Elephas maximus indicus: one gene and its partner. The protein of the gene in region 2 purifies or fractionates together with the protein of the main gene of each other region. This does not show direct contact. Links are inferred from orthologs where the notes say so. Each region holds a gene or a part of one and is shown on either strand. Other genes may lie near its edges.

Region 1 (12,834 bases), on a different chromosome or scaffold from region 2:
GTCACCATGGTCCAAGGGTGTGAGGCTGCAGGGCCGAGAACTCCCACTGCACGCTGCCATCACTCAGAGCAGTTTTTACTTTCACAATGCAACCTGTTAATGATCTCACTTTCACACTTGCCTAACACATCCCCTCCTCCAGGAAGCCTTCCCAGATCCCTAACAAAACCAGCATTCAGCTCTTTCCCACCGTGTATATACGTTCATACATGCACACGTACACACAGCAGGGTGCACACGCATGTACACATGTGCACAGAGTGCCTGCACACTTACATGCATGCACACACACACTTGTGTGTGCACACACTGTCGAAGGCAGTCCTGGGTGCTGATCTGAACCAACAACCTGGCAGAGCGTGGCACTGCCAACTTTCCCACAGGTTTTCAAAATCTTACATCCAAACATGAAAAGGGGTGATGTTGGCAAGCTCACCAGCCAGCCCCCAGAAACCCTCCCATGGACTGCATGGAACGACCGGTGGGGGAGAAAGCGTGTCACAGATGGACCGCACGACAGGGACCCAAAACAGCCAGAGCCCAGAGGTACTCACACATTCCAGAACCTGCAGGGCATCTGAGGATAAGCACAGCCCCGGGGCCTGCCCACAGCCCAGACCCTCACCGGGAGACCACTTGGTCTGGCTGCAGTTACAGGCAGCGCTGGGAAAGCAAGAGAGGGTAACTTTCTATGACAAACCTGGGACCTGGGGAAACCGCATGCCAACGTGAGATTACTAAATGAGGGGACACTGAAGCGACACTCCACTGGACGTGTTTGGAGAGGCAACTCTGCAAGCCTTGCGGACTCCAGCGACCATGCTTGCTGACCTCTGTCCTCACGGCCGGAGTGCAGGCAGGGGCCAGCTCCATTCCGCCAAATGTTGCATCCCAGGTCCCCAGGAACCATGGCCAACCAGGGCTTCCCTGAAGGGACCATGGTACCGCTGCCTCTGAGGGCAAGAACCCACCTCCCTCCTACACTCACACGTGCACACACACTCACACAGACATACATTCACACACACTCGTGTACACACACATGCACTCACAGATACTCAGACACGTGCACACACACATTCACACTCACACGTGTACACACATGCACTCAAACATACACTCATACAGAGACACACATGCACGCACACTAACACACATACCCACACACATAGTACCACATACACAGGTGCATACTTGAATGCCTACTCACACAATACTAACACACTAATGTAAACACTCATACCCTCAGGACTCTCACACATGCATACGTATACCCACATACACACCCACGCAATCACAAACTCACTGACACGTGCACACACACTGCACAGTTACACGCTCTCACAAGCTTGCCAACTCTCCAAAGTGAGTTTCTGTGAGTCCCTGTTTTTGTACACAGAGGTCGCAGGAGGGAGGGACCTGGTAGCAGGTGAGAATAAGGGGCAAGGAAACTTCTAGAAAGGGCTTCTCTGCGAGCAGACACTGAGGTGCCCACCCTGCTTCTCTCAAGGACGCCTGGACCCCTGGAGACAAGCAGCCACTGACCAGTGACAACAGCTGGATACACCTGGTGTTGAAGAGCAGACCAGTGGGCTTGGGGGGGGGGGGCAGGACAGAACCCCATGGTCAAGGGATCAGGTAGCTCCAAAAGGCAGGACAGTCACTCATTCAGGGCTCAGTCTTCAGCTTGTCCCTCTACCCCGCCGCCCCCATGTGTATGAAGCTGCCCACTGAGCAGCTGCCCACAGTCCAGCTCTGGATGAAATCCACGGGCTCTCTGGGAACAGGGAACACGGGGAACGAGATGCCGGCCAGGCTGGGGCACACACAGCTGCCGCCTCCCTATCCCGCCGGAGGTCCACCAGGGCCTGGCACTGCTTAGCCACCAGCTAGCTACTGGGCCTCGGGCAACACAGTCAATGCCCCCAGACTGACTGCCTGGGGAGAGGGACAAGAGCCAAAGGAGCCCTGCCCCACCCCCGCCCCTCCAACTCGCAGGTCAGGGGGCTGGTACCTGAGCACTTTGCCGACGGCCCGGAGGACCATTTTGCAGCTGAGTCCTGTTTTGGGGGCAGGGCTGTACAGACCTCGGTCTGCAGGCAGAGTCCCGTGGTCGCCAAGCATGGTCAGGAGACTGTGGGGCTGGGAGTGGGGGACGGGACACTGGAGCCAGTCGCTCTGGCTCCCTCCCTGCGGAGCTGACAAGTGGCCCCAGTGCTGGGCCATCCCCTCCCTCTGCCCCCAGCCAATGAGGACATGGCAGAGGGAGGGGCTCTGGCTGAGGGCACACGGACAGCTGTGCCTTCCTCAGCAGGAGGCAGGGCTGGGCTGTTGAAATAAGGGCGTGTCCCAGCCAGCCTTTCAGGCCAGGTGGGTGGGAGGATAGAGCTGGCTGCAAGCCCTAGCCAGCCAGCACCGGGAGGGTGCTGGCTGAGCCCACCAAGGCCCTCTGAGCACAGCAGCCCCTGATGCAGGCTCCAGCGAGGACAGGGAAGCTCTGTGAAGAGGACAGGCTGGTGGGCGAGGAGATGGATGCACTGCTCAAGGCAGGCCCCAAGTGAAGGGGAAACCGGCGACTATGTCTGCACTCAGTCCCTCAGCCTTTCTTCAGGGCCTGCACCTCCCAGAGTTCACACCCACCACAAAGTCCATCGCGGTTCCAGGGGGCCCAGCCATGCCGATGGTGAAGTGACAATGCACTCAAGTCTGTGTGAGGCCCTTGTGCAAGCCCAGGACACCGGCTCTCGAGGGTGGCAGGGGGTCTTCTCTGCAGCTGAGCGCACAGGAGCAGGAAGCACCGACAGTCAGGACAGTGCCCCTCATCCTGCCCAGCTCTGACCCCACTGTTTGCAGGAGCTGTTGACCTGGGGTGAGCTCCCCCTATGTGCCAGTCACCATCGGACACCACTGGACCAGGCGCCTCGTGCATCTATGTCGTGGGGGTGTGCCTGCTGCCCCTGTTGATGCTGCAGGCATAGAACCCAGATCCCGGCAGCACGGTGGGCAAGAATGACCAGCAGAGAAGTGAGAGGGGGTGGGGAGGGGGCGACAAAACACCCCAAGTGCTCTGCTCATCCCCCACAGCGGGGTGTCCATCTTACAGGTGCACACACGCAGAGCAAGCAGTCACAGGAGACAGACAATGGGCCTGACTTCCAAGCAGGTGCTTCCCAGGACACCTTTTCACACCCCATGACATTCAATACGTGATCTCTGAAGTCAGAGGAACCCATCCAGGCTCGGAAAGGGCTCTGGGCCCAGACAAGGTGCTAACCGCTGGCCAGAAGGGATGCAGGTATCGGGAAGGTGGTGTCCACCCTGGAGCTTCCTGTCCTGAGGGCCTGGCCTGGGTGGACACGTGTGTGGCCACCAGCCGGCAGAGACCAGTGGGTAAGGTAGGTCGGGTAAGCCAGGATGGGGCTGCAGCCTAGCACTTCTGACAAGAGCACACCCACTCCGGGTGGCTCTGCTCAGCCCTCCCACCACACAGGTGCCAAGAGACTCAGGCAGGAGTCAACGGCCTTGGGTGCGAACAGGTGGAGAGCCGACCTGCCAGGTGCTCCACAACACACAGGCGTGGGCAGGGCTGTGGGGCCCACAGAGCAGCCATCTAAGATCAGGGCCTCCATCCTGTCTATGCAAGCACGCCGAGGGAACAAGGAAGGTAGCGAGGCCTCCTTCATCACTGAGTTACGTTTACAGAAAATGATTTCTCACGCTAAAATAAGGCCCTACCAACACAGCCACTGAGCACTATTCTTAGAATACTCTGCAGCTAAAACAGCACCAGGCACTGTGCCCTGAGACGTGGCAAGCCCTGCCCCGCTCTTCTGACAGCAGCACAGATCTCGGGACCCACCCAGCACACCACGTCACATCTAGTCGGATCTCGGGACCCACCCAGCACACCACGTCACATCTAGTTGGATCTCGGGACCCACCCAGCACACCACGTCACATCTAGTCGGATCTCGGGACCCACCCAGCACACCACGTCACATCTAGTCGGATCTCGGGACCCACCCAGCACACCACGTCACATCTAGTTGTCGTGTCTCCTTCGGCTCCTCTGGGCTCGGATGGCTGCTTGAATTCTCCTTGTTTTTGATGCTCCTGACTGTGCTGAGAAGGGGTCAGGTATCTTGCAGACTCTGCCTGCAGTAGGGTTGGTCTGAACCTTTTCTCACGGTTAGACTGAAGTTACGGGTGTGCTGGAGGATGACCCCAGAGGTAAATGTCCTCTCATCACATGTGAAGGGCACAGGCCAACCACATAACCTCACTGTGGGTGCTCACCTTGATCACCTGGCTGAGGGAGTGTCTGCCAGGCTTCTCCACCATAAAGTTACCCCCACCCTTATCCACTGGCCTCTTTGGAAGTCACTCTGTGCAGCCCAGACTCGAGGACTGAGGACTTGCCCTCCCCCTCCTTAGGGTGGATTATCCATATAAATGACCTGGGATCCTTCTGCAGGGGAGATTTGTCTCTTCTCCCTTGAGTATTTATTTATTCAAACATTTGTTTATGTCAGTATGGGTTCTCAGACATTCATTTTATACTTTGGGTTATAACCCAGTACTACATCATGTATTTTGTTAATCAAATTGTCCCAGTTTTGGCCACTGGGGGCTCTTTCAACTGGCTCCTGTGTCCCTTTGACATATCCCATCACTGTGGGGTTTGTTTGGGGGTTTTATGTCTGTCTGCTGTTTGTCTGTCTGTCTTTCGCTGTCTCTTTCTTTGCACTTTCTTGCATTCTCACATTTCACGAGGTTCCAGGCTCCTCTTGTGAGTTTCCTGCCCCAGCCCCCAATACAGCTATTTCTTCAAGGTGCCCTGGTTCCTTTACTGGAGAACAGTGCAGAGATCAAGACCTGGGCGCCGGGTGTGCTCGTTGCCACTGGAGTGTCACTGCTTCTAGGTCCTCTCAGCTGACAGGGCAAGGTGATACGTGTGTACACTAACCCCATGATATACACGTATTTATAAATTTTCCATATGTAATCGTCTGTATCGATATCAGGCTAGTGTCTCACTGCCACATAGATGGTTCCAGTCTCCTCCCCCAGCTTATCCGTAAACTCCCATGCCAACAGTCAGAAGCATGGAGGGGCCACCTATCTTTTCATTGCTTTGTGAAAACAACCGAGGTACTCCAGAGCTGCGAAGTCAGCACAGTGATCCCCAACCAGCATCCCTCCAAAGGGTGCAGGGAAACTCACTTCACTTGAGAGCAAGCATGGCGGAATCCCTTAAGGAGTTACTACAAGAGAAGAGAAGAAAGAGAACACTCCAGTGACAACAACTCGAGAAAGACACGTGCATAAAAGAGGTGAAAACCAACCTGATAAAGAAGAATTAAAAAATCTCAGGAATAAAGTGATTTAAGAAAAGCTTTGAATAGAGAGGCAAAAGAACACAAAATGGAATAAGATATAACAGATAAACTGTTATTGAAACGAAGTCTGGACTCGAAGGAGCACAACAAGCCCAGTGGAGAAACAGACGTGACAAAGGAGGAACTTTCTTTGGTAAAAACGGAACAAAGAGATTTCCACTTCAGCTCACGACAGAACCACCATCTACACCTATGAACTGGTCAAAAGGCTTGAGCAACTGCTCTCAGACGCTGGGCGGGACCTAAGGGGGGCGTATGAGCGATCAGCACTGCCCTGGCCTTCCAGACCGCGGTGCCGGATGGGGAGATGCACCCAGAGCACCGTGGTCTTCCTAAGCAGAGGAAGCCAAAGTGGACGCCCAGGGCTGCTGACTGCAGAAGCGTGCAGGCAAGGTACCCAAAAGGATGGAGCTGCACAGAAAAAAAAACCTGCAACACGACCATGGATTCACTCATGCCGGCCACCGAGCTGAGCATGTGCAGAGTGAATTGCCACACAACCTGGCAAAGAGGAGCTACACAGGAGCCGCGAGCTGAAGGGAAATTCTGGAGGCTACGTAAGACAAGAGGACATGGGCACTCCAACTGTCAGGGCGGAGAGCCGTGGGACATTCAGGAACACTCCACAAAAGCCATGCCGGGGGAGTAGGGCTACTGCAGCCCCAGAGCTAGGGTTTCCCTAGACCTGCCCCACTAAAGCTTAAACCAACCCACCGAACCAACAGTAAATCCACCTTCTGCCAGAACGAACAGTGCTCTTTAAAAGAGGACAACAACACTGAGAATTTCAACAACATGGTCTCCACAGTATCTGGCATACCAAAAAAAAAAAAAACAAGCTTGATGCGTGAAGAAGCAGAAAAATGTAACCCATAACCCACAAAACTCTAAGAGTCAACAGAAACAGACCCAGAGATGACAGAGATGCTGGAAGTGACTGTCAAGGACTTTAAAACAACTGCTATAAATATATGAAAGGATTTCCAGGAAAAGATGGCCACAATGAGCAACAAGATTAGTACCCTCAAAAAAGACATGGAAACTACAAAAAAGAACAGAAAATTCTAGAACTTAAAAAATACAGTATCTGAAATGAAAGTTTTATGGGATAGCCTTAACAAAAGATGAAACCAAGCAAAGAAAAGGTGAAAATAAAAACATAACTTATCAAAATTTGTGGGATGCAGGTAAAGCAAAGCTCAGAGAGGGAAATTTATATCTATAAATGTTTATATTGTCAGAGAAGATTTAAAATCAATGAGCTATACTTCCATCTTAAAACGCTAGAAAAAAGGGGTGCATATCAAACCTGAATTAAGTAGAAGGAAGAAAATAAAAACCGGAAATCAATGAAATAGAAATGGGTAAATAATAAAGAAAAATTCATCACAAAGTTAGCTCTGAAAAGGTCAGGAAAATTGACAAATTCCACAGCTAGATTAGACTGATGGGCAGGGAAGACGGAAAGACATAAAATGACCAATATCAGAGATGACAGAGGGGACACAAAACTAAGATCCTACAGACATTGAGAGGATAACACAGGGCTATAACGAAAACTATATGCCAACAGAAAATTTAGATGAGGTAGACAAGTTCTTTGAAAAACACAAGTTACCAAAGCTGACCTTCTTAGAATAAAGAGAAAATATGAATAGCCCCTATCTGCCAATAAACTGAATTTATAATTAAAAACCTTCCTACAAGAAAATGCCACATGCAGGTAGCTTTACAAGTGAATTCTATCAGATACATAAGAACGGGAGCCCTGGTGGCACAGTGGTTAAGAGATTGGCTGCTAACCAAAAGGTGAGCAATTTGAATCCACCAGCTGCTCCTTGGAAACCCTTTGGGGCAGTTCTAGTCTGTCCTATAGCGTTGCTATGAGTCAGAATCGATTCGAAGGCAACTTTTTCTTTTTTTAAATATATAAAAGAAAGATAAAGTACCAACCTTACACATTTCTTTCAGAAAACAGAGAAAGAAGCATTTTCCAACTAATTCCAGGAGGCTAGCAGAGCCCTTATGCCAAAATAAGACAGGGATACTAACTAAAGAGAAAATTTACAGACTAACATCCTTTATGAACATAGATGCAAAAATCCATAACAAAATACTTGCAATTCAAATCTATGTTGTTGTTGCTGTTAGGTGCCGTCAGAGTCGGTTCCCATCACAGCGACCTCATGTACAACAGAAAAAAATACCGCCCAGTCCTGCGTCATCCTCACAACCTCGTTGCTGTATCTGAGGCCATTACTACAGCTACTGTGTCAATCCATCTTGTTGAAGGTCTTCTTTTTTGCTGACCCTCTACCTTACCAAACATGAGTCCTTCTCTGGGGACTGGTCCCTTCTGATAACATGTCCAAAGTACGTGATAGAAGTCTTGCCACCATGACTTCCAAAGAGCCCTCTGGCTGTACTTCTTCCAAGACAGACTTGTTTATTCTTCTGGCCGTCCACAGTATATTCAATATCCTTCGCCAATACTATAATTCAAAGCCATCAATTCTTCAGTCTTCCTTATTCACTGACCAGCTTTCACATGCATATGAGGTGACTGAACACATCACAGCTTAGGTCAGGCACACCTTAGTCCTCAAAGTGACATCTTTGTTTTTCAGTACTTTAAAGAGGTCTCCAATGCAATAAACCGTTGGATTTCTTGACTGTTGTTTCCATGGGCATTGATTGTGGATCCAAGTAAAATGAAATATTTGACAACTTCGACTGTTTCTCCATTTATCATGATGTTGCTTATTGGTCCAGTTGTGAGGATTTTTGATTCATGTTGACGTGTGATCCATACTGAAAGGTTGTATTCCTTGATCTTCATCAGTAAGTGCTTCAGGTTCTCTTTGCTTTCCGCAAGCAACGTTATGTCATCTGCATACTGCAGACTGTTAAGAGTCTTCCTCCAATCCTGATGCCCTGTTCTTCTTCATATAGTCCAGCTTCTCAGCTTATGTGCTCAGCATACAGATTGAATAGGCATGGTGAAAGGATACAACCCTGACGCACACCATTCCTAACTTTAAGCCATGCAGTATCACCTTGTTCTGTCCAAACAACTGCCCCTTGGTCTATGTACAGGTTCTTTATGAGCACAATGAAGTGTTCTGGAATTCCCACTCTTCTCAATGTTATCCATAATTTGTTATGATCCACACGGTCGAATATCTTTGCACAGTCATTAAAACACAGGTAAACATCCTTCTGGTATTCTCTGCTTTCAGTCAAGATCCATCTATCAGCAATGATAACTCTCATTCCATGTCCTCTTCTGAATCTGGCTTGAATTTTTGGCAGTTCCCTATCGATGTACTGCTGCAACCACTTTTGAATAATTTTCATCAAAATTTTACTTGCCTGTGATAATAATGATATGTTCGATAATTTCTGCATTCTGTTGGATCACATTTCTTTGGAACGGGCACAAATATGGATCTTTTCCAGTCGGTTGGCCAGGCAGATGTCTTCCAAATCTCCAGGCATAGGCGAGTGAGCACCTCTGGCACTGCATTGGTTTGTTGAAACATCTCAGTTGGGATCCTGTCAATTCCTGGAGCCTTCTTTTTGTGCCAGTGCCTTCAGTGCAGTTTGGACTTCTTCCTTCAATACCATCAATTCTTGATCATACGCTAACTCCTGAAATGGCTGAACATTAATCAATTCTTTTTGGTACAGTGACTCTGTGTATTTCTTCCATCTTCTTTTGATGCTTCCTGCATTGTTCAATATTTTGCCCACAGAATCCTTCAGTATTGCAACTTGAGGCTTGAATTTTTCTTCAGTTCTTTCAGCTTGAGAAATGCCTAGTGTGTTCTTCCCTTTTGGTTTTCTAACTCCCGTTCTTTGCACATTTCATTATAATACTTCGTCTTCTCAAGTAGCTCTTTGAAATCTTCTGTTCAGCTCTTTTACTTCATCATTTCTTCCTTTCATTTTCACTACTTGACATTCAGGAACAACTTTCAGAGTCTCTTCTGACATCCATTTTGGTCTATCCTTTCTTTTTAATGACCTCTTGCTTTCTATATGAATGATGTCCCTGATATCATTCCACAACTTGTCAGGTCTTCAGTCATCAGTGTTCAGTGCAACAAATCTACCCTTGAGATGGTCTCCAAATTCAGATGGGATAAACTTAAGGTCGTATTTTGGTCCTCGTGGACTTGAGCAAATGATGCTCTGTTCTGCAGGTGGCCCCTGGCTTTGTTCTGACGGATGATACTGAGTTTTTCCACTGTCTCTTTCCAGAGCTGTGGCTGATTTGATTCCTGTGTTTTCCATCTGGTGAGGTTCACATGTACAGTTGCTGTTTACATTGTTGAATAAAGACATTTGAAATGAATAAGCAGTTGGTCTTGCAAAATTCTATCATGCATGTAGTTTCTATCACCATGGCCATATCTCCCAAATACAGATCCTTCTTTGTTTCCTACTTTCGCATTCCAATCTCCAGCAATTATCTCTGCATCTTGACTGCATGTTTGATCAATTTCAGACTGCAGAAGTTGGTGAAAATCTTCAATTTCTTCATCTTTGGCCTTAGTGGTTGGTGTGTAAATTTGAATAATAATCATATTAAATGGTCTTCCTTGTAGGCTTACAGATATTATCCTATCACTGACAGCACCGTACTTCAGGATAGATCTTGAAATGTTCTTTTTGACAATGAATACGACACCGTTTCTCTTCAATTTGTCATTCCCAGCATAGTAGATCATATGATTGTCTGATTCAAACAGCCAATACCAATCCATTTCAACTCACTGATACCTAGGATATTGATTTTTATGCATTCCATTTCATTTTGACAACTTCCAATTTTCCTAGATTCATATTTCCTACATTCCATGTTCCGATTATAGTTTAGAGCTGTTTCTTCTCACTGTGAGTTGTTCCACGTTGGCAAATGAAAGCTTGACTCCATCCATGCCATTAAGGTCTACTCTACTCTGAGGAGACAGCTCTTCCCCAGTCATCTTTTGAGTGCCTTCCAACCTGAGGGGCTCATCTTCCAGCACTATATCAGACAATGTTCCGCTTCTATTCGTAAGGTTTTCACAGGCCAACTGTTTCAGAAGTAGGCTGCCGGGTCCTTCTTCCTAGTCCTAGTCTAGAAGCTCCACTGAAACCTGTCCACCACAGGTAACCCTGCTAGTATATGAAATACTAGCAGTATAGCTTCAAGTTTCACAGCAACACACAAGCTACCATAGTACAACAAACCAACAGACACGTGGTGGCTTATAATAAATAAAAAGGATAATACATCATATCCAGAAGAGGTTCATTCTAGGAATTTAAGCTTAGCTAACATTTGAAAATCAGTCAATGTAATTCACCACATCAACAGAATACAGGGGGAAAAAATTATATGATCATCTCAATTAGATACAGAAAAAGCACATGGCTAAACTGAATACCGATTTATAATGCAGAGTCTCAAAAAACTAATCCAACACCCATGTATAATATAGAGTCTCAGCAAACTAATCCAACACCCATGTATAATATAGAGTCTCAGAAAACTAATCTGACACCCAAGTATAATATAGTCTCAGAAAACTAATCCAACACCCATGTATAATATAGTCTCAGCAAACTAATTCGACACCCATGTATAATATAAAGTCTCATCAAACTAATTCGGCACCCATGTATAATATAGTCTCAGCAAACTAGGAATAGAAGGGAACATCCTCCACAGATAAAGGGCACCTACAGAAAAATCTATAACTAACATCAAACACGTAGCTGAAAGACAACATTTTCAGCTGAAGATCAAGAACAAGGCAAGAATGTTTATTCTCACTGCTTCTGCTTAGTATTGTACTGGATGTCTTAGCCAGTGCAAATGAGGAAAAAAAAAGACAAGACATAAATATGGAAAAAGAAAAGGCTGCCTTGTTTGACAAACAGCATGACTGTGTGTATACAAAATTCTAAGGAAACTACAAACTGGGGGAAAGGAGTCTTTTCAATAAATGGTGCTGGGAAAAGGAAAAAACAAAATAACAAAACTCAACCCCTATCTCACACCATACACAAATTAATTCAGGATAGATCAGAGAGCTAAACAAGGGCTCACCCTTGTATGTCCTTTCCTGTGGGTGCTGCTGGGGAGCTCTGACGGGCTCCCAGGAGGTGTGAGCTGAAGGTTACCTCCCGTGTTACCTCCACAGACCCTGTGCAAAAGGCATGAAATCCCTCCTTTCCCCACCCAAGAAATGGGGCAGCTGGGAAATGGCAGAGCTAAAACTCAAACTCAGGAGCAACGGCCCTGAGCGCAACCACAGAGACATTCTTCAGAGTCACGTGGGTGGAAACGGCCCACGGTGGACAGACCTCAGTATGAGCAGGGCTGCTAGACATGTTGCACCTGGTGTTCACAAATGCTGACTGAATGCTTCCTATGACGGAGAAGCAAGCCAAGCCAGACGCTTCACCTACCACCCTGCTCAGAGCTTCCAGGGCTCCTGAGGATAGCAACAAGCCCTCAGGAATTTTGTAAATATTTATAAATACATTCTTTACAACATATTTACCTATATTTATCCTAAGCAAACATCACTGTTGTTTTCTCCTTCATCCCCAGAGCTTCTGGCTCTCAACAGGGTGGGTGTCTCTGTGTACACATGGGAACATGCAAGGTGGGGATTGGGATTACAAAGTCAGCCATCTTCCAACTAAATATTAACGCGCTGGAGACCTGACAACATTGGTTTTCCCAACAAAACACAGGAAATGAGAACTTTTCATGTTACGTGTCTATTTTTAAAAAGAAAGTTTACACCGTAACAATTACTGATGGCTGTAATAATTTAAAATTCCAGGAAACTGCTAGGCAAGGGGGATTTAACTATTTAAGATGCCATATTTAAGATACATGTTTTTAAATGACAATGAGAAACTGGTCTTCAACTTTCTGCACGCCTGCCTCCTGCCTTGGTGACGACACATCGCTACAGGGCACTGCTTGCTCTCCTGCTCTTTGATTTAGTGCTGCCCCCCAAGGCTCTAGAAACTTGTCAACTCTGACGTTTGAGGGGCGCTCCATTGGCCAGCACACACCCAACATGGTTAGCTGTGGAAGCACAGCTGCCCTGCCAGCTCGTGGCAGCTTGTTCCCCGGGAGGGCAGCAGTGGTATTGGTGCTTATGTGTAGCCATGTGCGTACCCCCCCAGGTGAGAGCCCTGACACCAGCTGGCTCAGATGCCCCGAGAACCCCTTCCTCAGGTACAGGCTCAGCTCCCCGCGTTACTGGGCTTCCGTGTGACTGTGCCCATAGCCAACAGTTGCCAGACATAAGGGCCCAGAAAGCTGCACTCAAGTGTGTGCACTGTCATCATTTGGCCACTGAGTCAGGTACAGGTGTGCCTTCACTGTGGTGACAGCCTCCAGAGTGTCCAGCCCCTGAGAACA
Region 2 (12,800 bases):
GGGTGTTGACTGTGGATCCAAGTAAAATGATATCCTTGACAACTTCGATCTTCTCTCTGTTTATCATTATGTTGCTTATTGGTCCAGTAGTGAGGATTTCTGTTTTATGTTGAGGTGTAATCCATACTGAATGCTGTAGTCTTTGATCTTCACCAGTAAGTGCTTCGAGTCCTCTTCACTTCAGCAAGCAAGGTTGTGTCATCTGCATATCACAGGTTGTTGAGTTTTCCTCCAATCCAGATGTACCGTTCTTCTTTATATAGTCCAGCTTCTCAGCATACAGATTGAATAAGTATGGTGAAAGGATACAACCCTGACACACACCTTTTCACTTTAAACCACACAGTATCCTCTTGTTCTGTTCGAAGGACTATCTCTTGATCTATGTACAGGTTCTGCATGAGCACAATCAAGTGTTCTGGAATTCCCACTCTTCGCAATGTTTTTCATAATTTCTTATGACCCACACAGTCCAAGGCCCTTACATAGTCAATAAAACACAGGTAAACATCTTTCTGGTATTCTCTACTTTCACACAGGATCCATCCAACATTAGCAATGATATCCTTCATTATCTTTTATTTTACAATCTCAAAGAGCTTTCAAAATTTCCCAATACAACGTATAAAAAAAATGGGTGATTGAATTTCTCATTTTATACATGTACAACACTCATCTCTCAAAACCTTGTTTCAGCTATTACAAATTTAGATGTTTGTGGAAATAAAAACTAAAAGGGCCATGCAATCATTAACTAAACCCCAACTTCACACTTAAATCGAAAGCATGCCCAACGCCAAGTGGCCAAAAAAATTACAAGTCAAAATATTCAGTGATTCAAACGTTTTACTAGGCAAAGAAGTTAATATAGTTATAACTTCTTAATTCTAAATCCTTATGGGGATGTTAGTAAGTAATATAAGTCAAATTTATCAGAAGTCCCACTCCATGGTGATATTTAATTTACACCAAGAGCAACTTCCAAAAATGGACTCAATATCTAACATGCCCAAGATAACATAGGTACCTGGGTTATCACTGCTTTGGAGCTCTTTTTAGCAGTTAAGCACAGGAATACAGGGTTAAGCTAGAACGCCTGGGTTGTCATCCCGCTTCTGCCACTTAACTAGCTATATGGCTTTGGTATCTCAGTTACCCCATCTGCAAAAGAGGAATAATTAAAATAACTACTCTGTATGGCTGTTGTGAGTATTAAGCCCAGGTGAACAAGTAGTACATTTAAATGTTTGCTTATTATCATTATTATATGACTAAACCCATTGCTGTGGAGTTGATTCTGACTTACGGGGACCCTATAGGACAGAGCAGAATTGCCCATAGGGTTTCCAAGGTTGTAATCTTTACAGAAGCTGACTGCCACATCTTTCTCCTACTGGAGCAACTGGTGAGTTCGAACTGCCAACCTTTCGGTTAGCAGCCAAGCTATTAACCATATCACCTCCAGGGCTTCTTTATCATTGGACTACCAAAACAAAACAAAACCCATTGCCACTGAGTCAATTCCAACTCACAGCGGCCCTACAGAACAGAGTAGAACTGCCCTGTAGGGTTTCCAAGGAGCGCCTGGTAGATTCGAACTGCTGACTTTTTGGTCACCCAAATCATCTATGCAAATGCTATTTCCTATTCAAAGTCTTCCTTAATTGGTCTAAACCCAAAAACTCATTGCTGTTGAGTTGATGCCGACTCATAGTGACCCTATAGGACAAAGCGAAACTGCCCCATAGAGTTTCCAAGGAGTGACTGGTTGATTCCAACTGCCATCCTTTTGGTTAGCAGCCCTAGTACTTAACCACTATACCAACCCAGGGTTTCCTTAATTGGTATAGCAGGACTTAACCCTTCCCTTCTTGGCTTCCCCCATAAAATGCATGTGTATCATAGTTATTTGAACACATTTCTTTCCATTGGAATATAAATCCTTGAAAACAGAGACCACAGCTCACCTGAGTGTACTGGGCAGGGAATATTGTTCATTGTTTCTTTTTTTTTCCCCCCCTAAAGTTTCTCAACAACAATACTCTGTCAACTAGCAAACCTTTACCTGGAGACAGAAGGTTTATGTAACCTGTGCACTTAAGTACTGGTCATTCTTTGCTAAATATTCTCTAAGACTTAAACAAAAACTGGGAGGGCAGAGAGATTCACTTGTTTTTTAACAGTTGGCCAAGAATACCTTTAAAAAAAAATTTTTTTTTTAATTTTTTGCCTTAAAAGCTTGCTGTCATTATCTCATCCTAAAAGCCCATGGTGCTTTGTACAGTAGCATAATTTCTGCATATGTCAAGTCTAACCTAACCATAACTTGCCCATCTGCTGATTTAATGTAATCCTAGGAATGGTAGATGACAACATGCTTGCTTGATTCACCCTACATTATTTATGTAAAATAAAATCATCTTAACATTACACTGAGAGGCAAAGCTTTCTGGCTTTGATTTGTGCCTTTTCCCTTTTGATAAAGTGCCACCAAAAAAAACAGTCTCTAGGACAGAATTTCAAATTCTCATGGAATCCAAACTTTCTGGAGCCACTGAGGCCAGACGACCCTTAATATTATTACCCTGAGGAAACCTTTAACCGGGAGGTTAAAGTCATCTTTGAACCAAGTAAGAGTTCAGCCTAATTAGTAAAGAATGTCTGCATTAAGCATTATACTCTTTTAAAGGACTTGTCTATATGTGATCAAATTGTCAAAAACTCCAAAGGAGAGATGAGAAGCTTAGGGAGGCAGTGAGTTTGTGTTAATCATGGTGAAATAGTTTTGGGACGGTGGTACAATCTGAAGAATGTAAACACTGTCGCTGACTGTACATGTAGAAATTGTTGAAGCAGTGTATGTTTTGTTGCATATATTTTCACTGAAAAAAAAAAAAAAAGACTCTAGCTTATCCCGGATCACTTTCTAAAGTATGTTATCTAACTTCACTAACAATGATACGGCCCTAACTTTGAGAGAACAGAATTTTTCTGAAAACAAATGGTTTAATTGAGTTAGTTGCTTTAAACTGTCATCATTTTCTAGAAAGTAAACTTAGTTCTTCGTTCTTACACTGCTCTACCTTTTGAAATTAATATTTTCAGCACAAAAACTGCTGAGGACACCTATTTACCTGCACAAATATTCCTCAACTTCAGTCCTGAGTTTTGACTTATTTTAAAACAAACTCTCAAAAACAAGAGGCTAGAGGAGAATTACACCCACTTAATGTGGTTTTTCTCAGTTTAATTTCTTCATTCCCCAGTGCCAGGGCTTTTCAAAAGAGTACAAAACTACACCCAAATTTGTTTCTCATTCTAAACACATCCCAACTAAATGGGAAACATTCTCAGCCATCTTAACAAGGAGAACACAAAGCTAAGCCACGTGAAACCTTTTTTTTTTTTTAACCATTGTACTGCTTTTGAGATCAGAATTTTTCAGATAAAAGTACCCTGATGAACCTGTGCAATGAACAAGTGCCAACATAATTTACCATCTCTTCCCTCCAAGAGTCACAAGAGTGGCTAACTCACACACAATACCTCTCAGCTACTTGCGAGCTGAGTATAATAAGCTTAATTGTTTTATATACCCGGAGGCATACAGAGAAAGGCCAGTCAAACACAAAGCAGTTTCCAGTGTTTTATATACATATACGGCTAAGACAAAAAACTGCATTGGGGTGAGCAAAACTGGGCTTACAACCCTGCTTTAAAGTAGGGAGACCTGACAAGTTTAAAGACTCCTCATTCCCCCATCCCCCCAAAAAAGACAGGGTCTCACTCTTCAATTCCCACTTTATGACCGGGGGCATAAATTAAAACAAAGTCGTTTCCTCAGATTTTAACAGTAATAAAGTTAATACCCAGGCCTTTTTTGAGTAATTAGCTTTTATCAAAACGCATCACAAGTTACATGAAATAGACAAGAGTGTTGATTCTGCATTTTATCACGTGAGCAACAACAGCATCACACTTCTGGACAAACCACTACTTACAGCACACACCTCCCCCCAACACACACAATTTCTTTTTATAATCATTGCTCCAAACATAGAACCCAAAAAGAAGTCCCACAAAACAAAAAGTAGCATCAGTAAACGGGAGGCTACTGGTTTTGAAAATAAAGTCTGTTCTTTTGCTATCAACCTGGCAACTTTTTAAAGGTGAAATGTCCCCTACTTAACAGGGTCCCCTACTTAAATCTTTATTTCCATCCCAAATAACCACTCCAGTTCGTCCCCGACACTAAAGGTGAAAAAAAACAGAGTGGAAGATAAAGATGTTGAAAGGAAGGGTCTACGGTACCAATGGAAGGAACAGATTAGATTTTAAGACTGGCTTTGAACAATCCGTGGCTTCTGAGGCTGGGGGGCTTTACTGTGTCTATCGGAGAAATGTTTAGCTATCTGACGCATCAGTTTTTAGGAATGGTACCAAACAGCCCCCACAATTTAAGAGCTGTACCTAGAAACCTTCCTCTTGGTAACACAGGCTAGAGGGCACGGGACAGGAGACCAGGGGATGCCAGGAGACGGTCCGCGACATTTGTTATTGTTTATGAAGCCCAAGCAGGGACCAGGAGCGCGGTGCTCCGGAGCAGAGGAGTGGAAGGGGAAATTAACAGAGAAGGACGAAGATTCCTTCCCCGGTTCGAGGCTACCTCTCCGGACAGACGGGGTCAGCAGCACCCCGAAGAACAGGAGGGCCAAGGCCGTCGCCAGAGCGTCACCGGAGACATTTCCAGCCCCGAAATTAGCCCGGCATTCCCTGGACATTCAAACATACATAAGATTTCATTCTGCTCGCAGAGCTAGGGCCGGTGCGGCGAGCCCGGGTCCCTCCGCCGCGGCTGCGGAGCGCCGCATCCGCGCACTCACCTGCCTCCGGTCGCGCCCGCAGCCGGCTCAGCCTCCGCTCGGACCGCAGCCGGCCGGGAGCCCGTCCGCTCCTTTTTCCTTGCTCCGCCCTCGCCCCGCCCCCGGAGGTGGGTCCGGCCGCCGCGCCGGAATCTCGGGACGGCCTCCTTGGATTCTCGCGAGCCTTTCCTCCTCGGCTTCTCCGTGGCTGGACCCGTCCGCCTCGGTCCTGACGTCATACGCACTACAGACGGAAGTAGCCTTCTGTCGTCAACGCTGGCCCCTGGCCCCACCCACTTCCTGCTGGTGGAGGGCTGACTGGCCTTGGAAAAGTTTACTGGTCGGTTGTCACCTTCTCCTGCTAGAGCCCCGCCTCGCTGCCCTCTTATTTACTCAAAATTGGTTCAGGCTTGCCTTGAAAGTAAAACTGTGTGTTGGCACATTAGTTACATGGCCTAATTGTCGTTAAAGTTTTTCCCAGTGCTTAATGCAATTTTTTTTTGAATGCAATACAAAGAATTTTAGAAATAGGAGCTTAGAGATAATCTTGAATCCACACATTTAGCAGATTAGAAAAACATGGTCAGCGAAGATGGACTGGGTGACCAAGTTGCTTAGTCAGTAGCTGAGTGGGGACTAGAAGCCAGTCCACGAAAAACCAAACCAAACCCAGTGCCGTGGAGTCGATTCAGACTCATGGCGACCCTACGGGACAGAGTAGAACTGCCCCATAGAGTTTCCAAGGAGTGCCTGGTGGATTTGAACTGCCGACCATTTGGTTAGCAGCTGTAGCACTTAACCACTACGCCACCAGGGTTTCCAGTAGCCAGTCAGGTTCCTTAATTCCCACTTCACCAAGTGTCTAGACCCTAGTGATTTGGATTGGAAAACTATACAAAATGCTTGGCAGTGTACATAAAAGACTTGCTTGAGTTACCTTGGAAAATCTAAAATAATTGACAACACCGGGCTGCTTTATCATTAGGATTGTAGAACTGTGAGGAAAATCACCTCCCTGTAGGATGACTCAGAAGGGATGACTTTGGGGAAAATGATGAAATTTACGTTTGGGGACAAAACTGGTCTTTTGGAAAACCAAGTAAGAGTCACTCCAAATTATTGGTGACAAATTATTCTTAATATGTATTATTAGAGTTTTTAGAAAAGACTCAGCTTTTGTACTGCTAAGGGTTTCACAATATATGAAGATGGTACTGTGCATGCAGAAAATATCTTTCAGAGATGCCAACTGTTATCTTTAAGTTCAGTAAAAGTAGATGACACATATGCAGAAGACTTCGAGAAGAGTTACACCATCATTTCTCCCTTCTTCCTCTCTTAAACTCTGTGTGGTCTCACATATAGTTTGGTAGTGGGAAAAACAGTAGTGTGGTAATCAGTGTATTGGGGAAATCAGCTCCACTTATGTGGTCAAGTGAGAGTTGCCATATTCAAACATAAAAAAAAAAAAAATCAAACCTCTTGCCATGAGTTGATTTCAACTCATAGTGACCATATAGGACAGAGAAGAACTGCCCCAATAGGGTTTCGAAGGCTGTAATCTTTACCAAAGCAGATTGCCATATCTTTCTCCTGTGGAGCAGCCGGTGGATTAGAACCCATGCTGCTCTTCGGGAGAAAGATGTAGCAGTCGCCTTCCTTAAGATTCTATCCTTGGAAAACCTATGGGGTAGTTCTACTCTGTCCTATATGGTCGCTATAAATCGAAATCAACTCAGCAGAAATGGGTTTGGTTTGGTTTTGATTTTTTACAGACTAGAACTCCTCCAATAGGGTTTTCTTGGCTGTAATCTTTATGGAGGCAGATAGCCAAGCCTGCTTCTTCCACGGTGCTGCTGGATGGGTTCAAACAGCCAACCTTTTGGTTACCAGCCAAGCTCAAACCATTTGGACCACCTGGGGACCTTAAGTTTGTTTGCTTGGAAACAAAGGCTGTCTTCTATAAGCTGTAGGTGACTTTCAGTGAACAATCTAATCATACACATGACAATCCATTCAGAACTCTCACCAGACTGCTTTCTGCAAAGCACTTTATAAACATGGAGACAATGACTTCTAATTGATCCCTGCCTTAATATTTAACCGACTTGATTAAATTGAAAATTATTTATTGTCTAGGGTTTAAGTTGTTCCAAGGGTTAGGTTATTTCTCCCCCAAAGTGAAAAGCATTGATGTAAATTAGAAGCCTGAAGGAAAGCATTAAGGAAAGGCAAAAAATATATTTCTCCCTTTTCACTACATTTTTGAGATTTGTATCCCAAGGGTCTGCTTTTGTTACTAGTTGTATGACCTTCCACAGGTCAGAAAAAACTCTCTGAAGTTCTATTTCCTCATCTGCAAAATGGCAAGAATATCAACATCATTAGTTGCTGCAAAAATGAAATATGATTATGTGTGGTGAAAGCACTTTGTAAACTGTAAAATACCATTGCCACAATAGAAAGAATACCAGCTTGAAGATAGAAAGAACTCAGTTTGAATAATAGATGTCTTTTAGGATTGTTGTGAGGATTAAATGATTTTAAGTAAAATAATATGAATTAAGCACCTAGTACAGAACAGAGAATATGTTCATGTTCAATTCAAGGTAGCTGTTATTATTACCAGAGTTGCTGGGTGGTACAAATGGTTAACAAACACAGCTGCTGACTGAAAGGTTAGAGGTTTGAGTCCACCAAGAGGCACTTTGGAAGAAAAGCTTGGTGATACACTTCTGAAAAACCAACCATTGAAAATCCTGTGGAGCACAGTCTACTTTAATACACGTGAGGTCAGCATGCGTTGGAGTTCACTCCATGACAACTGTTTTCTTATTACGATTATTATCACTCCACAACTCATCTATCAGTTTGTCGTACTCTGGTGGCTTATGTGTTGCTTTGATGCTGGAAGCTATGCTGTCAGTATTTCGAATACCATCAGGGTCACCCATGGTGCATAGGTTTCAGTGGAGCTTCCAATCTAAGATAGACTAGAAAGAAGAGCCTGGCGATCTACTTCTGACAAAATTGTCCAGTGAAAAACTTATGGAATATTGTCTAATATAGTGTCAGAAGATGAGCCCATTGGGTTGGAAGGCACTCAGAATGCAACTGGGGAAATGCTGTCTCCTCAAAGTAGGGTCGGCTTTAATGATGTGGGTTGTGTCAAGCTTTTGGGACCTTCATTTGCTGATGTGACATGACTCAAAATGAGAAGAAACAGCTACAAACATCTGTTGATAATCAGAACATGGAATGTATGAAATATGAATCAAGGAAAATTAGAAATTGTCAAAAGTGAAATGGAATGCTTGAAGATAGAAATTCTAGGTATTAGTGAGCTGAAATAGACTGGGTACTGTATATTTTGAATCAGACAATCATATGGTCTACCGTGCTGGGTACTCTATGGGGCAATTCTACTCTGTCCTCTAGGGTCGCTATCAGTCTGAATCGACTCGACAGCACTGGGTTTTGTACCATGCTGGTAGTAACTCATTGAAGAGGAATGGTACTGCATTCATGGTCAAAAAGGATATTTCAAGATCTGTGCTGAAGTACAACGTTGTCAGTGATAGAATAATATCCATATTCCTACAAGGAAGACCTGTTAATATGACTATTGCTCAAATTTGCACACCAACCACTAATGCCAAAGATGAAGAGATTGAAGATTTTTACCAACTTCTGCAGTCTGAAATTAAACAAACATGTAATCAGGATGTATTGATAATTACTGGTGATTGGAATGCGAAAGTTGGAAACAAAAAAGAAGGATCGGTGCTTGGAAAATAAAGCTGTGGTGACAGAAATAACATGGGCGATTTCATGATTAAATTTTGCAAGACCAATGACTTATTCATTGGAAATACCTTTTTTCAACAACATAAAGTGTGACTATACATGTCGACTTTGCCAGATGGTATTCACAGAAATCAAATCGATTACACCAGTGGAAAGAGAAAATGGAGAAACTCAATATCATCAGTCATAACAAGGCCAGGGCTTGCTAATATGCAAGTTCAAGTTGAAGCTGAAGGAAATTAGAAAAAGTACACAAGAGCCAAAGCACCACCTCAAGTATATCCCACCTGAATTTAGACACCATTTCAAGAATAGATTTGATGCATTGAACACTGATGACCAAAGACAAGTTTGGAATGATATCAAGAGCAGCATACATGAAGAAAGCAAAAGGCCATTAAAAAGACAGAAAAGAAAAAAGACCAAAATAGATGTCACAAGAGACTCCAAAACTTGCTCTTGAACATAGAGTAGCTAAAGCAAAAGGAAGAAATGATGAAGTAAAAAAGCTGAACAGAAGATTTCAAAGAGCAGCTTGAGAAGACAAAGTATTATAATGAAATGTGCAAAGATCTGGAGTTAGAAAACCAAGGGAAGAACATGCTTGGCATTTCTCAAGCCGAAAGAACTGAAGAAAGAATTCAAGCCTCAAGTGGCAGTATGGAAGGATTCTATGGGCAAGAAACTGAACAATGCAGGAAGCATTGAAAAGGGATGGAAGCAATACACAGAGTCACTGTACCAAAAAGATTTGGTTGATGTTCATTCATTTCAGGAGGTAGCATACGATAAAGAACCGATGGTATTGAAGGAAGAAATCCAAGCTGCACTGAAGGCATTGGTGAAAAACATGGCTCCAGTAATTGACAGAATACCATTTTAGATGTTTCTTCAAACGGATGCAGCCTGGAGCTGCTCACTCGTCTTTGCCAAGAAATTTGGAAGACAGCTATCTAATTAACAGACTGGAAGAGATCCATATTCGTACCCATTCCAAAGAAAGGTGATTCAGTGGAATGCAGAAATTATCCAACACTATAGCACACAAGTAAAATTATGCTGAAGATCATTTAAAAGTGCTTGCAGCAGTACATTGACAGGGAATTGCCAGAAATTCAAGCTGGATTCAGAAGAGGACATAGAACGAGGGATATAATTGCTAATGTCAGATGGATCCTGGCTGAAAGCAGAGAATACCAGAAAGATGTTTACTTGTGTTTTATTTACAACATAAAGGCATTCGACTAGGTGGATCATAACTTATGGATAGCATTGCAAAGAATGGAATTCCAGAACACTTAATTATGCTCTTGTGGAACCTGGACATAGACCAAGAGGGAGTTATTTGAACAGAACAAGGGGATATTGAGTGGTTTAAAATCAAGAAAGGTGTGTGTCAGGGTTGTATTCTTTATGCTGAGCAAATAATCCAAGAAGCCAGACTATATGAAGAAGAATGTGGCATCAGTATTGGACGAAGACTCATTAACAACCTGTGATATGCAGATGACACAACCTTGCTTGCTGAAAGCCAAGAGGACTTGAACCCCTACTGATGAAGATCAAAGTCTGTGGCCTTCAGTATGGATTACACCTCAACATAAAGAAACAAAAATCCTCACAACTGGGCCAATAAAAAACATCGTGGTAAACAGAAAATATTGAAGTAGTCAAGGATTTCATTTTACTTGGATCCATAGTCAGCGCCCACGGAAGCAGAAGTCAAGAAATCAAATGATGTATTGCATTGGGCAAATCTGCTGCAAAAGACCTCTTTAAAGTGTTAAAAAGCAAAGAGGTCACTTTGAGGACTAAGGTGTGCCTGATCCAAGCTGTGATATTTTCAATCGCTTCATGTGCATGCAAAAGCTGGACGATGAATGAGGATGACTGAAAAGAATTGGTGCCTTTGAGTTACAGTGTTGGTGAATACGGAATATACCATGGACTACCAGAAAAATGATCAAATTACAGCCTGAATGCTCCTTGGAAGTGAAGATGGCATACTTTGGATATGTTATCAGGAGGAACCAGGCCCCGGAGAAGGACATCATGCTTAGTAGAGAGTCAGCAAAAAAGAGGAAGACCTTCAATGAGATGGACTGACGCAGTGGCTGCAACGGCAAGCTCAAGCATAGCAATGATTGTGAGAATAGCACAGGACCAGGCAGTGTTTCATTCTGTTGTACATAGGGTGGCTATGAGTTGGAACCAACTGGGTGATACATAAAAACAGCAACAACATGATTTTACCATTAATAATAATAATTAGTGATACAACAAAAATACATACTTCAGAATAGAAACCTTTTTTCTTTTGTCAACTACAAATTAAATAGATCCTCTGCATCTAAGAAACTTTTTTGGTGATATTTACATCTACCATGAGAGAAAAAGGCCCTGTCAGAAACTTTCTTGCTTTGATTCTACTTTACTATTAATTTTTACAAATTCCTGATACTAACAAAGACACAGACACAGCTGATTTTCCACCTGTGAAATAAAAAATATGAGGTATAGGTAAGACTAGGGTAAATGATGCTGCAGTGATCATAGTATTTTAGTTGCTTAAAAGAGCAAAGATTTATTTATTGCTTATGCCCTGTATCTTTCACAGGTCAGCAGGAAGGCTTTGCTCATCAGAGTCCCTCAGGAATCCAGGCCAATGGAGCAGCCATTATCCTGAACATTGCTAATCTTCATGCCAGAAGGAAAAGACAAGATAGGAAGGTCTCAGGTTAAGACTTCTGCTCACAACTCATTGGCCACAAGTAGTCACATGTCCAATACAACTGAAAGGTAACCAGGTAGTACATGGTTAAGCACTCAACTACTAGCTAAAAGGTTGGTCATTTGACCCAACCCAGAGGTACCTTGGAAGACAGGTCTGGCAATCTGCTTCCAAAAGTCACGACCTTGAAAACCCTGTGGAGCAGCTCTACTTCTACTCTGCAATACATGGGGTCTTCATGAGTTGGAATACACTCCACAGCAACTAACAATGACAACACTGTCTTTTGACATTCCAGGAAGGGGGGAAACCAGAAATATTTGGTGAATGGTACTTAGGACTACCACGTATGTATATGTGAAAAACACTGTACAAGTTATTATATGATTCCCTTTATCTGCCTATCTTGACAGTTAAGCAAAATGCAAGATACTGTAATATTTTGTGATAATTTATGCTATGTTAAATATAGTTTAAATTTTTTAAATCTCAAAAAAGAAAAAAAAAACTTTTGGTTCCTACAGTCTCCTTAAAATGATCCTCATTGTCATTAAAAATTCACTGTTAGCTTTATAACTAAATCTTTAAAAGACTTCTTCTTTTTAAAACTAAAAAGTACTGTTACTTTCTCTCAATTTCCACTGTCTTTCTCAGTTCTAGTTTTAGAATTAATTCCAAATGTTTATTCTCTCTCAAACAAGAAAAAAACTTAAACCCCTCCAAAAAAGACAGTTTTCATTACAATGATGGAATTCAACTTACATTCATATTGTAATATGGCAAGTCCAATAAAAGCTAAAATAATTGAATAAGTTCTAGAAAATTATTGTAGTTACTTTGTTGTAGAGTACCTATTTATATCCTGTGATTCTAACATTTAAAACTATTACACCTCTAAAAAGCTATTCGTTCCAAGTTTTTAAAAGAATATTAATGATACCAGCCATATTTTTAACTAGAAGTTGGATGGGTATAGTTTGGTTTTTGGATCTGCACTACAATTCCTATAGTTTATTTGGTTCTTCCTCTTCAAACTATTAGTTCATTTAATATATGTGAAAAAGTTGATTTTCTTATAGGAATTCTGACTCTGCTTCAAAGGTTAACTGAATTGTCAGAATTAGCTCTTTAGGGATGGTGTTAAGTCTCAGGAAATCTATAAACTAAGAAAGTTTAGAGGGGGTTTCCTTTTTATACCTCCTATCTTTTGAAGTGGAGATTCCTGTCCTTTTCTCATAGCCACCCTATTCAGTGACTCTAAGTTTAGGTCCTATCCTTTCAGCTATTTGATTTCCCTATTTTTGTTCTTTAGATGTTGAAATTCCTGGAACCTGTCTGTGTTAACAGGCCAGGTGGAGAATGTCTCTAACTCGTACCCCAGTAGTGGCCTGGGTACTAGC

Evidence for each region.
Region 1: the proteins of STK38L (region 2) and MOB2 purify together in Homo sapiens (affinity purification with mass spectrometry; 9 studies listed by BioGRID and IntAct, counting the BioPlex papers as one, with this or other methods). This does not show direct contact. The link is inferred for Elephas maximus indicus from reciprocal best matches to the Homo sapiens genes STK38L and MOB2.

Annotation. Positions count from the first base shown.
Region 1 is NC_064825.1:136,425,350-136,438,183, reverse strand, and holds the start of MOB2 (MOB kinase activator 2), read right to left. Parts: upstream 6,364-12,834; 5' UTR 2,227-6,363; coding exon 2,015-2,226; intron 1-2,014. UniProt on the Homo sapiens protein: Stimulates the autophosphorylation and kinase activity of STK38 and STK38L.
Region 2 is NC_064822.1:85,967,753-85,980,552, reverse strand, and holds the start of STK38L (serine/threonine-protein kinase 38-like), read right to left. Parts: upstream 5,036-12,800; 5' UTR 4,884-5,035; intron 1-4,883. UniProt on the Homo sapiens protein: Involved in the regulation of structural processes in differentiating and mature neuronal cells.